Linked DNA regions of Canis lupus familiaris. The protein of the gene in region 1 binds, or shares a complex with, the protein of each later gene. Links are inferred from orthologs where the notes say so. Each region holds a gene or a part of one and is shown on either strand. Other genes may lie near its edges.

The links. Proteins that work in one complex are often made in the same cells at the same time.
Region 2: STRIP2 (region 1) and STK24 share a complex: the UniProt entries of both Homo sapiens proteins name them as parts of the core of STRIPAK complex. The link is inferred for Canis lupus familiaris from reciprocal best matches to the Homo sapiens genes STRIP2 and STK24.

The regions. Positions count from the first base shown.
Region 1 is NC_049235.1:7,184,169-7,187,815, reverse strand, and holds part of STRIP2 (striatin-interacting protein 2), read left to right. Parts: intron 1-941; coding exon 942-1,076; intron 1,077-2,458; coding exon 2,459-2,579; intron 2,580-3,305; coding exon 3,306-3,374; intron 3,375-3,556; coding exon 3,557-3,647. UniProt on the Homo sapiens protein: Plays a role in the regulation of cell morphology and cytoskeletal organization. Required in the control of cell shape. Calmodulin-binding scaffolding protein which is the center of the striatin-interacting phosphatase and kinase (STRIPAK) complexes.
Region 2 is NC_049243.1:48,811,532-48,815,278, forward strand, and holds the start of STK24 (serine/threonine-protein kinase 24), read right to left. Parts: upstream 2,445-3,747; 5' UTR 2,430-2,444; coding exon 2,352-2,429; intron 872-2,351; coding exon 641-871; intron 1-640. UniProt on the Homo sapiens protein: Serine/threonine-protein kinase that acts on both serine and threonine residues and promotes apoptosis in response to stress stimuli and caspase activation.

The sequences.
Region 1 (3,647 bases):
CAGTCCAATCTAGAAAAAGCCCAAAACAAAGTATGATTCTTCTTTATCCTCTCTGTAACCACTTCTCTATCCCTCCCTGTATATGGGACACAGAGTTTCCTACATCTCAAGTGGAGAGGCCATGGAATGGAAGCAGGAGAAGCCTGAGCTGGGTCCTTTTCATTGATATAAAGGGCCTAGAGAGAAGAGGGATGAGGACTGGGCTGGTGCCCTGCTGTCTGGTTGAACCCTGTACCTAGTGTAGTCCTTGACTTTTAACATTCAATCCCTGCCTCCAACTCTGTGTCACTCCTAATAGCATCTAATAATATTTCATGTGCCCACACTGATCCTCTCAGACCTCCACTTCCTTACTTGGTCAGTGAATTCAGTTTGCAACTCAACAGATGTGTGGTGAGTACTATTTTGTGCTCAAAATAGTGAAAGTGAGTTTGCAGTATCTTCAAAGAGATTATAGTCCAGTGGCAGAGGGGAGGTGTGTACATCACAAAACTGACGCCAAGAGGAAAGTGGTAAGTATCATAAGAGAAGTAAAAGGTATCTTTGGGGGTTTGGAGGCAGAGGAGTATCTTGGGGGACAGAGCTTCTGGCTGGAGCATTAGTGGGAAAGAGGTAATTTAGTATAGGACCTGTAATGATAAATAGGAATTAGATATGTAGGGAGAGAGGGAACCCCTTGAAAAGGCAGAGAGAGAAGCCAGAATAGGCTCTGTGTAGAGAACAAGGGAATATGGAAGAAGAGGCTTCATTTAGAGTGGGTTCAGCCAGAACTTTGGGGGTCCTTTACTTTTCTAATCTCTTATTCCTTCTCATCTAAATAAGGAAAGCTTTTGAAGAGAAGAATTTGGAGGCTGGGATTAGAAGTAGACATGTTACCAGGAGCCTTTCCAGGAAGGGGAGGCAGAAGCTGACCCTGGATCTGTATGGCCTTCTGTCTCCAGTGCAAGGCAAGGAGTGGCTGGAGTTGGAGGAAGATGCCCAGAAGGCCTATGTGATGGGACTCCTGGACCGACTGGAGGTGGTCAGTAGGGAACGGCGACTGAAGGTGGCCCGGGCTGTTCTATACCTGGCCCAAGGCAAGTGTCCACCTTTGCCAGCTTCAGATGGGTAAACACTGGGGAAAGAAATATTGCCATAAAAAAATAATAATAATAAAGAAAAAAAAAGAAATATTGCCATCAGGACTAGGATGAGGCAAGCCATGCTAAGAAAGCAAGGTCCCTACCTCTCAAGGACAGATCTTATCAAGTGCTAGAAGTAACCTGATGCTTATAAGCAAGTTAAGGAGATAGTGGTGGGTACTATTCTGGATCCCTTGGAATTGGCTTTTATCTTACCAGGCATGGCAAGATTTCTTATAAGGTACTTTTTTCCTTCATGTGGGCTATAATCATATGTGGAGAATACTTAGCAAGAGAGTCTGTGTGGCTAGAGTTGATGATATACCACCAGCTGAGCATGAAGGCTTCTTTCCTCAGCTATGGCACTGACTTCTACTAAGAGGAGACAGTGGGGTCCTGCAGATTCACACATGGACCCTCTGTATTATTTCTCTTTGGCATTTAGAGGGTTCAAGCCAGCATAGCAGCAGGAGTGGATGCAGTGGGTAATTGGGAGATGATCAGAATTCAATGAGATTAATTAAGGAAGCCTTCCCAGAAGAGACCTATTAACCATTTGTTGGAAAGAGAAATGAGATAACCTAACTGGAATAGTAAAAATAGGCCCTGAGGTCATAACAAGAGGACTTTTGGCAGAACTAACTAGCTGGGAGCAGTTTTATAAGAAAACAATAAATGGACAAGAAAGAGAGTGGTGAAAAGACAATAGCAAACGAGGCAGTGCCCTAACTGCATCTCTTGGGTCTAGTGTTCGGCCAACTTCCAACTGCTAGTACCTTTAACTTTTTACCTGAAGGCTTTCTCTGCAGTCCATATAGGGTAGCCAGGAAGTGCTAGGAAATTAATGTGCTCCCCTAGTGCAGTAGCACTGATCAATGAATGACAGGAGTTATTGGATAAATAGCCCAACTATTTCACTCTTGGGTGGGATGATTCTGAGGGTTGAAAAACCTACTGTTTCCCAGAGCTTCCTCCATCCTGGATTTCAGCTCTTGGCTGCCTTTTCTTCCCTAGCTTAACTTCCCCACTTCTCTACTAATGGTTCCTGGGATCATCTTCCAAATAAACTACTTATATTTGAATCCTCTCTGGATCTGCTTTTCAGGGAACTCAAACTTAAGACAGGCCAGTGATAAGCACATTGGACCTGACTCTGGAGACTATTTCTCCTCTTTCCTGCCTCATTCAAGGAAGTTCTGGGGGCCCTTGTCCTACCTTTGTCAGCCTAATTGTTGGTCAGGGTGTTGGAAAATAGTCTTAAGATCATGGGGCAGAGTGGAAAGAACTGGATACCCCTCTTACCCTCAACCCCACATGGCAACTGTCTGGTTCTTTAGGTACTTTTGGGGAATGTGATTCGGAGGTTGATGTGCTACACTGGTCCAGATACAACTGCTTCCTGCTCTATCAGATGGGGACCTTCTCTACCTTCTTGGAGCTACTCCACATGGAAATTGAGTGAGAAGCCTTAGGGGAGGGCTGGCCTAGATAAACCCCTTCCTTGAAGGGTGTTTCATGTCCTATACTGATTCCCTCACTATAGAGACCTCTATGGGAGCAGTGTCTATTCACACCTCAGTCCAAAGCTTATTGATGGTTTCCCTTTATCCAGCCATCCTCTCTGATATTTTGTCCTCCCTGAGGTTGGGAGGACAACATCAACAGCTTCTGCCCCCACTTACAGCTTCAGTCCTGGGTCTTAGGGCCCTACCCTAGATGGGTTCCCTTTTTATCTAAACACCTCAATTCAGCCTAACTCTGGAATCCATGAAGGAAATTGTTTTACCTGGAAACATGACCCAAGAGGGACAGGATCAATTTCTGTTGCTGTACCCAATTCTTTCCCTCATAGGTCACAGCTCTAGAGGTGGCCTTATCTGTTGCTACCACTGTAGAGATCCCTCATTTTATCTCATGCCTATTATCCAGAAGTTCAAATAGGGCAGATTACAAGTGTTGCTTAGCATCTATTTTGTGTTCAGCATGGTACTAGGCACAGTGTGGATTATAAGAGGAGGCATCATCACAGACCCTGCCTTTGCCCTTCACCACAGATAAGGGTTAACAGAGATGGCAGAGGAATTCGGTGGGCTCCTTTACCTTAGACCAATTTCTTTTAGCTACATAGCCAGGGAATAGCAGAGGTTTTATAAGTTCCTATTCTCTCCCTCGTCCCCATGGCAGCAACAGCCAGGCCTGTAGCAGTGCTCTTCGGAAACCAGCCATCTCCATTGCTGATAGTACAGAGCTCAGGTAAGTGGAGCTGGCCCTGGGATTGGACAGGGGATAGTTAGCAGTGGGTTACCAGATACACCTGGACTGCTAATAGTTGCTAATTCCACTGGGTTGGGCTCCCACAGAGATCATCCCTGAGGTTTCTGGCTACAGGTTGGGAGCTGCTTTGGGAATCTCTTGTAACCCTTCCATAACTCCAGGGTGCTGCTGAGTGTCATGTACCTATTGGTGGAAAATATCCGCCTGGAGAGAGAGACGGACTCCTGCCGGTGGAGGACAGTGCGGGAGACC
Region 2 (3,747 bases), on another chromosome or scaffold:
GACATGAACACAAGGGACAGACTTCCGCTCTCTTAGTGGTGTGACTAGAGTGCCCTACAGCATCTAAAATGGTCCCATTATGGACTGGAAAACCATTTGCTGTGCTCTTTTATCCTACTCACAGAATCAGATGAAATCCAGGACAATTTGTGGTGTTGAGTCACTGTTTACTTACCTAGAATTCTTCAAAGTCAAATGTAGATAAACTAGTTCACTAAGCACCATTATCAGTTCCAGCAGGGTTTTTTTTAACATTAAATTAAACTACATTTGATAACTGAAAATATCAAAAGGCTAAGATTCTCAGGTCGGCACAAGGTTTTACAAAAAACCATGCTAAGGTTAGGTAAGTCCACAGTTGTTGTTGTAATACCTTCATAAGAAATGTGTCTCTGATGACCAAGTTCCAATCAGACGTGCTTTTTTCTTGGAAAGGAACTTCAACAAACATTTTAACCAAAAGATATTTCTATAGGTGACATTGAAGATAAGACTATCAGAGCCAGGTGCCTTTGGAATCAAAGGAACATTTCTCCCTCCTCCGACAGCCTGCTGTGCTACTGACATCCTCTCCACGCCCTGCTCTGACTCGGTCAAGTACTACACCATGGAAAACCACATTCTTACTATCAAGCCTTACCTTCAGATAGGAGCCATAATATTTGGTTACGTAGGGACTGTCACACTGACTCAGCACTGTGATTTCTTGCTGAATGTCCTCTATCTCATCTTCAGCTTCTTCCAGGTCAATGATTTTTATGGCAACCACTTTCTGAGTCCGAAGGTCAATGCCCTTGAACACTTCACCAAATGAGCCCTTTCCAATTTTCTCCAGTTTTGTAAAAAGCTCTTCTGGATCTGCTTTCAGGTTCTGTAGGAGAAAAGGAAAAGAAGAGACCTCAGTAACTCACAAGACAGGGACAGATTTTCCCGCATACTTAAAAATACACAGAACACAGTCTTCCAAGAACCGATCCATTTTCTTCATCTGAGGGTCAGGCTGGTTGTGACCACAGCTCCTCACACTTAGGACACAGGGATTTCTAAGCCTCACCTCTATGAAACACAGCAAGTATGCAAGCAAGGACAATAACCCTGATTATAAAAACTGGGAAAGGCTCCAGTATTTGCATAATTAAGTAAAAACCAAGACAAAGTGTTAGGATATATGAATTTATTGAAAAACACTCTTGTTACGCAAATATTCCACTCTCTCCCTTTGTTCCCCCTCCCCGACAAATTTTCTAAGTTTAGGTAGGCATATACTGTAACTAGTTAACTAGTACTCAATCATTTCGTAACAGGCCATGTTTAAAGTCCAGCAAATGCAGTCCTATGCATCTTCACCTTTGGCTACTACCTTGCCCTCAACATTTTAACCCAATCCTGGGAAACAATAAGAACCCGTTTTCTTTTGTCTTGTAAACATCATGCCCTTGGAAAAGCTTCTGAAAGCTCTCAATCACTAGCTAATTAGGTGAACCACATACACACAGTGTACATCTCCAAGGGGTCCAGACATAGGGACTCCAACACCCATCCTCACAGCTCCCAGACCAGAAAGGTGTGTGAGCAGCTGAGTTCTCTCAACAGGCAGCAGCCTGTCATCCCCGGGGGGTGTCAGTCACAAACTGAGGGGCGAAACTGACATTCGGCAAGAAGACTTGGGGACACTGCCTAGCTCGGCACAAATACTGCTGGCACCACTTGAAACCTCACAGAGTAAGACAGGACCCTGGGAGCCACCACCTCACACACCTCCCCTCAAAAATGCTGCTCATGAACAAGAGGATGCCAGGCCCACCCTCCATGTCTACCAGTCCTTCTAAGAAACTGAAACATGGAGAAGGAAGGAAGATGGGGAAGGAGGAGGGCTGAAAAGGGAGAGAGTATAACAGGCATGGTGGGGGGAGGGGGTCTCTGGGAGGGGGAGTGATGAGGGGATCGAGAGAGAATTACAGCAAGGTCAGCAGCACCATTAGCTAGGTGAGCCCTAGGGGCTAACCAGGCACGAGCCATTAACTTGCTTTCAAGGTGAAACACATGGAGTTCCAAGCAGTGCCTCCAGAGAAGTGCTGAAACCCAGCCCGCCCACTGCCAACGCGGAGGTGCTGCTGTGCTGCAGCGTGAACCCCACGGAAGTAGCACACCCCAGCAACACACGCACACACTAAGTCATGGGTGGTCTCACAGACCCCAGAGGCCCTGTTTTTGAGACTACACTAACCCCATCATTTAAAATGAACAAAGTAAGCAAGGAGTGCATCCCGGGGTTGCCAGGAAAAAGGGACACGAGAGAGACGTCCACATTCAGCAGCTAGAAACTCCCATCTCCAAACCCCTTCCCTCACCTCCATCCCTCCAGGATGAGGGGGGGTGGCCCTCCTCTTCTTCAAGGCCAGTCCTGAGCGCTGAGCTTTTGAATCCATCCTTCTGTCCCCTGGATACAGCTTCAGCAGCATCAGCCCCCTACACCAGAGGCCTCTTCCATTCAGCCCTCTCTACAGACCCACCACTCCTGGCAGCCTGCTCAGTTTTCTCCCATTGAGAAAAACAGAAACACTGGGCTTCCCTGGTCACCTCTCTCCTTCACGCTCTCCTTCCTTCCTTGAGAGTTCCCTGCAAGTCACCGAGACCAGCCAGGCGCCCCGCCCCTCGCTGGTCACCGCCACAGTCTGGCTCCAGCTGAGGCCACCACTGCAGTGCCTAATCTGATCCTCCTCCAAGAAGCCCTCCCTCTGGTAACTTTCCAGTCCTGGCATCTAAACCCTGCTCTCCCACTTGTCTACTCCCCATCCCCCCAGTCCCAGAGGATCTTCCTGCACAGACTCCACCCTGGCGGCTGCATCACAGGCATGCCCCTGGGGGCTCCATGCTGGCTGCCCACCCATTCTCTACTTATTCTCCTCAAACAGTTTTCATTGTTTGGGATTGTGTTCCCCAAACCTAGCTGCTCAGAATCACCTGGAACATGTGGGAGATCCCAAATCACTCTCTGTCATACATGGGGCAGGGGTGCATAATCCATATTGTTAGACACCCCAAATAGGGACACTTGGGTGGCTCAGGTCATGATCTCAGGGTCCTGGGACAGAGCCCCACATTGGGCTCCTTGCTCAGTGGGGAGTCTGCTTCTCCCTCCCCCTGCTCGTGTTCTCTCACTCTAACTAAATAAATAAAATCTTTAAAAATAAAGACTCCAATTGATTCTGATGAATAGCCACCTTTGAGGAAAAACGGTTTTAAATCATCATGTACATGGTAACTTTCAAATTGCTAACTCCAGCCCTGCTTTTTGAATTCTATTTTTTTTTTTTTTGAATTTTAACTCCTAAGATCAATTACTTGCTAAATATATATTTCTATGTGGACATCTCAAGCTCAACCTACATGAACTGCATCTGTCATTTCCCTGAACTGGCCATTCTCCTAGAGCACACAATCTCACTCACTAAAAGCTGAGGGAACTCGGGGACTGTGTCTTACTCACTTCGATACCCATGTCCCTGAGCACAATGACCGATGGCCAATAAGTGTCCCTGAGCAGTAAGAAAGCCCCAACCTTACACTGACACAAACACCATCCAGACTACATATTACGAAGAATATCAGAGGGACAGAGAGCCCGGGAAAGGGGGAGTGAGGATGGTACCATCTCCAGCTTGCAAGTGTAAGGAAGCAGTAGGAAGGGCCGTTTGGAATATGCAGGAACAGTAACTCTCAAGTCTTAGGGGCATCAGAACCACC